Linked DNA regions of Drosophila melanogaster. The protein of the gene in region 1 interacts with the protein of each later gene in a pairwise test. Each region holds a gene or a part of one and is shown on either strand. Other genes may lie near its edges.

Region 1 (4,248 bases):
GCGGCAGAAGAAAACTCAGAAACTAACCAAGGTTCCACTGTACTACCATGGAAAGTACAGCTTTCTGGCAGAGCGCGGTAGTCTGGAGGATGCGGACAGCGATGATGTCGACGGCGATGGCAAAATAAAGGTGAGTCCGAGTGACAAACAGCTTTCTAAGCCACTCTAATGCGTTCCCCACGACAGCTGGTGTTCACAGAGGAGAATCAACTGACCACACAGTTCATTGATTTGTACTCCAAGTTTCCCCAACTGTACGATCCCGCGCACAAGCACTTCTGCAATCTAAACGTACGAAAGTCATCGCTCATAGAGATCACTGACCTGCTGACTTCGGAGTTTTCGTTGGGCCTGGTCACCCACTACGATGTCTACGACAGTATTCAGAGCATGCGCCAATGGTATTCGCGACGGATCAAAACCCTCACAGACGTCCAATGTGTGGGTCTCTCGCTGGCCGAGAAGCAGTACATCGAGCGCTGCAATAGCTTTATGCCCACTAAATCATTCCGACAGAAGCTTAAATGTGAAGTCTGCGAGCACTCCTTTAGCACAGATCACGCCCTGCAAGCACATCAGTTCCGGGATCATAAGATGGGCGATGGAGGCTGGTTTCGCTGCACGCTTTGCGAGCTGAACTTCGACCGAAAGTGTCACCTGCAGCAGCACAGCCAGCGTGTGCACATGGACAAGAGCTTTGTCTGCGAGATCTGCAGCAGGAGCTTTGCCTTTGGAAATCAACTGGCTATCCACAAACGCACCCATGACGAGAAGCACGTCGCCAAGCCATTTGTCTGCGAGTTCTGCGGCAAGTGTTTTAAGCAAAAAATCCAAATGACAACGCACGTAACTGCGGTTCACACCAAGATCCGAGCCTTCAAGTGCGACATGTGCCCCAAGGACTTCCTGACCAAGCGCGACCTCAAGGACCACGTAAAGGCGCACCTGAACATCCGCGACAAGGTCTGCGAGGTCTGTCAGAAGGCCTTCACCAATGCCAACGCCTTAGTCAAGCATCGCCACATCCACAAGGAGAAGACCCTGCAATGTTCGCTCTGCACGACGCGCTTCTCGGAGCGAGTTAGTCTTGGCGTCCACATGCGACGCACCCACAAGATCCTCAAGAGCTCTCTGTCGTCAAGCGACGCACTCTTTACAAAGACATTCCCTCAGCCTTGAGACATTTCCAAACCATGACAAGTATTTACATTTGTTAATAACCAGAAAATATGGCTATAGTGCCAAAAAACATGAATTTTTTAATGTTCTTAATGTATTATTACTCCTAAATATTTTTTAGTATTGAAACAAGAGATTTTACAATATATTTGTCCAAGCTTGCAAAAATGAAAACAAAAATGTTTAAAATGATTTCTATTATTCTATTCTATTATTCGACATATTTGAATTGTTCGATTTTTAGATAATCCATCTGAATTTTCTTAATAAAGACTACACTGAGCACTATGCATTTGTATGCCTTTGTGATATAGTAACTTGAAAACACAAAAAAGCACTGAATTTTGAAATTGAAGGTGTAATAATACTTATTTTTATATCTAATTTTGGGTTCTATTGGCGTAGCAATTGAGCATATCAGGAGTACATTTTGCCTGCTAGCCAGCAGAGGTTCCTTTGTCTGCCGTTAGAGAAATTTGTCCTACTATGTCAAATGTTAGAATTTATAGCATTTTTTTATATTTATTTCATTAACTTCGGGTAATCAAAATTTTCGAAGTTATCAGCTCACCTATTCTTGCGCTGTGCAGCACTGGCCAACAGCTGTTCGTGTTTTGGTTTTCCGCGACGTGCTCGGTGTTACGTGCTCTGCACCAAGATTACAGACCTGGAGAGGAGAAATGAGCGGACTCCTTCCGAAGTTGTGGCGCCAATGTGAAGCGGGGCTAGTGCGCCGTATCAGCCAGGCACTGATTGGACCCGGCGCCAGTCAGAGCCGGTGGACAGGGACCCGTCTCCTGGCCACCAGTGCGGATAAAAATCCGGCCCCGGGGCTGCGGGAGCTGCCCCACTGCAATGTGGGCACCATTGGTCACGTTGACCATGGTAAAACGACCCTGACCGCCGCCATTACCAGAATCCAGTCACAGAAGGGTCTGGCGGAGTACCTGTCCTACGACCAGATTGATCGGGCGCCCGAGGAGAAGGCGCGTGGCATAACTATAAATGCTTGCCATATTGGGTATTCCACTACAGAACGCACCTACGCTCACACGGATTGCCCGGGTCATGCGGACTACATAAAGGTAGCTCAGCCAAAAGAACCAACCAATGTTCCACCAATTTAACGAAACTTTCTATCTGATCTACAGAACATGATCTCGGGCGCCTCCCAAATGGATGGCGCCATTCTAGTGGTGGCTGCCACCGATGGTCAAATGCCCCAGACTCGCGAGCACCTTCTTCTGGCAAAACAAGTGGGCATCCAGCGCATCATAGTGTTTATAAACAAGGCCGATTTGGTGGACCAGGAGGTGCTGGAACTGGTCGAGATCGAGATGCGTGAGATGCTAAGTGATTTCGGCTTTGATGGCGTGAATAGCCCGGTAATTTGTGGCTCAGCGCTGCTGGCCCTTCGCGAAGATAAATCGGAGTTCGGGGTTCCGTCAATTGAAAAGCTACTTGAGCAATGCGACTCTTACATACCAACGCCGCAGCGCGATATCTCGTCCCCATTTATCCTGCCAATAGACAATGCTTTTACGGTACCCGGAAGGGGAACCGTGGTCGTGGGAACCATCAAAAGGGGCACCATTCCCCGGAACGCGGATGCAGACCTACTGGGCTTCAATCAGAACCTGAAGACAAGCATCAGCGACATCCAGATATTCCGGAAGAGCGTGCCTCAGGCACAGGCTGGCGAGAACGTCGGCGCACTGCTGCGAGGTATTAAGATATCCGCCGTGGAGCGGGGAATGCTACTGTGCGCAACCGGCTCCGAGGATATATCCAACCACTTTGAAGGCTCCATGTATCTGCTATCGCGGGCCGAGGGTGGTCGTGTCAAGCCCATGCTCTCCAAGTATATACAGCAGCTCTTCAGCCAGACGTGGAATGTTCCAGCTAGAATTGACATAGGTAAGTTAAAAACTTCAATGCTGTCCACAAAGCATTGAGCAAATCCCATTGCAGTTCCAAGTGAGGCTATGCTTATGCCGGGTGAGCATGGCCAGGTGCGCGTCACGCTGCTGCGGAAAATGGTCATGACTCCGGGCCAAGCCTTCACAATTCGCGAGAACGGAGCGACGGTGGCTACCGGTATGGTGACGCAGCGCCTGCCGTCCCTTGACCTGCCCAAGAACAAGTTATCAAAAGTCTTCGTGGATTGTTAACGACTCGAGATTGTATTTGTAAAAATTCATAAATTGCTGTTCATTACACACGAGTACTTTCTTTCTAATATATAATATTTGTATGTGTTTAGGTAATCTGCTTAGAATGTTTCAAACAAATGCCAACGTAGTTTAGGCTTGCATAGTCTAACGACATATCTAAGAAACCCAACTAACGAGTTACAAGCTACGCAGAAAATGAGAATACATAAATAGATGGAATGCAACAGCAATGCATCATCGGTGAGCTCTATGAGTCTTACTCTATCATCTGTAGGCTTTACACGTTCTTTAAGGCAACAAATCAGCCTGGTTAAGTACAATCATTGTATATAAATATTTAGTTATGATTTAAGGTACAAGGTTTAGGCAAGAAATGATTTCTTATGGTCAGAGTCTAACTCCAAGCATTTATTGCGTTTCACATATTAAGGTTGGTTCTTAACCTTCCATTACTTTTGCTACAAATAGTTCGTACAACAAAAAAAAACACTTGGCATCTCGGGACGGGTACGCCATTGGATACTCGGAATGGATACTATTGGAGTGGATAAACAACGGGTATTTAAGCTAAACAGGAACTACACAAACATTTCGGCAAAACGGCTCTACTCAATGTTTCATTATCTAATCGATTTTCTAAATATAAGAACAAATTAAATTTCTAGAATCGTTATACTCGTATAATACACAAAAACTAAGCAGTGTAATGTCATCCAAAATGGCAAAGTTCTCGACCGGCAAGACGCAGGCACGCGACGTTTAAATCTTTGTAAGGAACTCGTCCAGATTAAGATGCGACGGTAGTTCAATATCCTCCAGCTTGATGTCACTATACCTGAAGACAACCTTAAATGGCTGAATGAACTTCTGGTCTATGGTGAATTCGTCACTATTG
Region 2 (4,161 bases), on another chromosome or scaffold:
AACTGGGCCTGCATGTACTTGGTGTACTCCAGTTTGGCCATCACCTCCTTGTACTCGTTGGCGTAGGCAAGTGCGGCGCTGTTTGTCTGCTGCCTGTTGCGCAGCATCATCGCTGCATTCGCAGTGGAGCTACTGCCAGCAGAAGCGGCTCCACTCACCCTCGTTATCTCCACTTGTGGCACATGCGTCTTGATTGCTAGCTCCTGGTTGGTGTCCATTGCTGGCTCCTCGTCCGCCTTGGGGCGCGATGGCACGGCCGTGACGGTTATGTCGCTGTACCTGGAGCGGAAGGATTCAATGTCCAGGTAGTCCATTTTGGCGATTGAATCTCTAACGACGATCGATGGTTGATAATGAAAGGGATTTATTTGACAGGCCTACTTAGTAGCTAATATTTCAGTGCTGCAAATTTCTTAGGGCTGGAAAACCATTTCTTCTATTTTGATTTTCCTCCCTGGCCAAATCTACTCGTACTCCCATTTCCTTAACATGAGCCCCAAGCAAGTGGCATACCCAACCCTCACTTGGTTTTTGCCTTTGCCCCCAAAGCTAAAAACCTTTCTTTTTGCTCTTTCTTTTGGGCTATCGCATGACCAAGTGGGTAATTACGGGAAGCAGAACAAAAAAACACGTTTGTAAACAGTTCATTCTGCTGGCGTTGTCCATTCGCCCGTTCTTCCCGCGGGTTCCACTGCTTCAGCGACCGGAAGCCGCTCAAGCGTGCTTCCCGTTCTGCGCAGGCGCATTCTCCTTGGTCACCCCAATTTTTTGCCATGACTCATGGGGTATGGCGTATTCAAATAAGAGAGGTGGAGATCTGATCGTAATGGTTGTTTTACTTGTTTTACATGCAAATTTTGACCAGAACATTGTCCAGAATTTCGGTTTTAACAATCTTCAGCTGTTGTGCTAATAACAATTTAGTGTTCTAGACTCTGCTTAATGGCTAGTTAATTGCTGCTCTGGTGCTGCGAGCGAATGATCGCCTCCAGGCTGCGTTCCGTGTGCTCTCCGCACTCGAAGCGATGGTAGTCGACGATCTCGCAGTTGTGCTCCTGCAAAGCCTCGCCCACCGTCTTGTCCGCATCGAGCAGATACTCCTGGTGAATCAGGCACGTCTCATCGTCCTTGTTCTCCGCCGGCTTGTCCTTGTCATATTCGCCGATCTTTGTCGGCTTCATGCCCACGATTTGCTGGCAAATGCTCTTGTGAAACTCAAAGTCCAGCAGGGGGTGCGTGGATCGGTAGGCTACGATCGCTCCGTACTTGCCCACCTGGGTGATGCCTTCCGTGGTGCCCACATTGGTGGGTGCGGGATGGGCGTAGCCCACCAGCTTCAGGTCGTTGTTAGCCTTAAAGCACAATGCGCGCCGGATGGTGGCATTCTCCCCGATGGCGCCGATCAGCAGAGCCAGGTGGTCGCCCAACGTGCGTCCCTCCTCCGTGCGCAAGTTTCTGAGGGCGTCCGCATCAAAGCCAAGCTGAAAGGATATGCACATTCTTTAATTAGCAATTTCTTTAGGAATGGATGCAAAACCGGTTCTGATCCAAATATTGTGTACATTTCCCATAAAAATCTCGCTCACCTTCCACAGATCTCCATCGAAGTCCGTCAAGTCCGTGTATTGCAGACACATGCAGGCGACGTGGTCAACGAACCGCTTGAAGGTATCGTTCCTGGCTACGAAATCCGTCTCGCAATTCAGCTCGACCATGGCGCCCCGGTTTCCGCGGATGAGCACTCCAATCAGACCATGTGCAGTGGCTCGATCTGCGACCTTGGTGGCCTTCGACCAGCCGAGGGTCTGGGCCTGCTCGTGCAGCCACTTTTCAGCCTGCAAGAGCGAGATGATGGCAAGGTGAGTTGATTAGCACAGATGTGTTTTGATCACAAAGGAGTTTGCATGCGGTGCAGCTATATATATTACATAATAATATAGAAAAATCAGCAATTTTTCAAAATGTAGAGATCCCCATTTCGTGCTCTTTGTAATGGAAAGCTCACTGCACCGCTTGCAATAAAACTATTAGCCAACTACCCACCAATCCGACGTCGTTGTTGTGCTTCTCCAGCGCCTTCTTGCAATTGGCGAAGGTGTATCCGGTTTTCTTCCTCAGCGCCGCCAGGGCACTCTTCTCCAGGCCACCGGATCCGCCAGAGCCGGCATAAAGCTGCCGCGTGGAGTGAAGTGCGCGTGTGAAAAACCTTTGTAGCAGCATTTTTCCAAAAAATTTCCGAAATTTACTGGGAGGCCAAAATGATTTCTAGCGTGATTTGTGTGCGAATTGAATTGTTGCTCTTTGCCTGCTGTCAAGGGCAACTCGCCGGCTTGTTTGTTTTTCCGTTTTCCGACCTGTCGCTATGTAGTAGTTGCCCGGAAAATCAATTCATTCTAAACAACGGAAAAGCCTGTGTGAGATTTGCATTTGTTTTCAACTCCTTCGTATGTTCGCTTCGGTTCAAGAAAAATTAATCGCGTTGCGGCGCGAATAAATCCAAAGCGAGTGTGGTGCCTCGATAGGTGAACGACTGGTAAGCGTCGATAGTTTAGTTTTCGGCTTTTCTGTGTGCTTAATTCGAGCAATTAATTTTGAAACTGAAAATTTTGACAATTTTCCGTGTTGCACAATTCGGCTGTTAGGGATGGCAAAAAAGCCGGTAGGGCGCGTGTGCGGAGAACAGCTGTTGCGAAGCGACTATCGATAGTGGCGACGCTATCGTTGGCCAAATGACGTTTAGTGGATGTTACAACCTATTACCGGTTACAACCGATTCGAAATGGATTGAAACCAAATATTTAAAACTTAAACCTAATAAATAGTTTTTTTTTTAATTCTGGCGCACGTAGTTATTTTCTTAATTAATATTTTAGTGTTTTTTTTTACTTTAAATAGTACTTTGATTAATAACTCGGCGGGATACAATCGTTTTATGTTTCAAAAACAATTATTGAAAACAATTTTCATTTTCTGTAGTCACATTTTGATTCGAACGTTGAACCGATTTCAGGCTTCAACATGCAGGGCAGACAGAATCCGAATCGGGAGTTCAGCATCCCCAGCTTCACGTCCATATGCGGCGGTCGCCGCCTATGCGAGAAGTCGAAGATGCTGTACACGCGACCCAAGCCGGATGTGCTGCAGAGCATCCTGCAGTCAAAGGCCAATCCGGAGTACAAGTCGCGTCGCCTGTGGTACGAACTGAACATGCCGGAATGCGCCAGCTCCCTGCTGGACGGCAAGATGAAATCCGACCTGCCGGACAACATACTCTGCGCGAAGAAACAGCAGAAGAAACGCCAGAAGAAGCGTGAGAGCGGCGTGGCCAAGGCCAACTACATGACCATGCGACTGGAGCGGGAGCACTTCCGCCGCAAGCTGGTGGAGCTCATCCTGCACATGGACGACGACCAGGATCCCGAGCTGGCCGCCCAGTGCGCCGTACCCTTTCCCGACCAGGAGGAGCGCGAGATTCTGCGATATTACTATTACATCAAGCATGGCATTGACACCATTCACGTGTCGCCGTTGAGCAAGAAGATCCTCAAGAGGTGCGTTCCACTGAACACTTTCAAATGTATCTGCTTTTTTGCTAACTGCTTTCCGTCTGCAGGATAACCGATCTTGTGCCACCACTGCTCTACAAGTGGCAGACGGCACTCAATGAAAACATAGCCGAAGTCCGGGCGGACTACGTGTTCGCCATGAAGAAGGCCGTTGTGGACTTCGTCCTGCGGCACACGGTCCTCGATCGCCTAACCAAGGAGGGCGTGGGTGGCAAATACGACACCGCCGAGCGGCGGGAGGTGCAATCCATGACGAACTTTTGGCGCTATCGGTGAGTCTCCATGATGCTAATGTCAAATTCGATAAAAGTCTTCGATTTCTATTCGATAAATGGCAAATGAAACTTTTGATCCGTTAAAAGTGTATAATCCAGGCAGAATATAGAAACATTTTTCACGTTTTTCGTTAGCTTTTTCTATGCAAAAAAAAAAAAGAAAAAAATACAGCAATGCAGATGAAATTGCAACTTCTCTTAAGCCAAATGGATTTTGAGAGGCAAAATCAGAGTAGCGTAATTGATATTGAAATGCATGCGTTGTTTGGTTCGACAAAGTTGAAAAACCAATGCAAGCGAAGGGCGGGAATTTAAAGTTA

What was found.
Region 2: the proteins of mEFTu2 (region 1) and mEFTs interact in a two-hybrid assay, tested with the Drosophila melanogaster proteins (2 studies listed by BioGRID).

The regions. Positions count from the first base shown.
Region 1 is NT_033778.4:7,507,723-7,511,970, reverse strand, and holds mEFTu2 (mitochondrial translation elongation factor Tu 2), read left to right. Parts: upstream 1-1,613; 5' UTR 1,614-1,859; coding exon 1,860-2,264; intron 2,265-2,330; coding exon 2,331-3,096; intron 3,097-3,150; coding exon 3,151-3,350; 3' UTR 3,351-3,444; downstream 3,445-4,248. Other genes in the region: az2, read left to right, coding at 1-130, 187-1,179; didum (dilute class unconventional myosin), read right to left, coding at 4,113-4,248.
Region 2 is NT_033779.5:17,498,449-17,502,609, forward strand, and holds mEFTs (mitochondrial translation elongation factor Ts), read right to left. Parts: upstream 2,659-4,161; 5' UTR 2,221-2,658; coding exon 2,044-2,220; intron 1,836-2,043; coding exon 1,587-1,835; intron 1,482-1,586; coding exon 951-1,481; 3' UTR 820-950; downstream 1-819. Other genes in the region: CG15142 (uncharacterized protein), read right to left, coding at 1-314; Dhc36C (dynein heavy chain at 36C), read left to right, coding at 3,019-3,551, 3,614-3,838. UniProt on the Drosophila melanogaster protein: Associates with the EF-Tu.GDP complex and induces the exchange of GDP to GTP. It remains bound to the aminoacyl-tRNA.EF-Tu.GTP complex up to the GTP hydrolysis stage on the ribosome.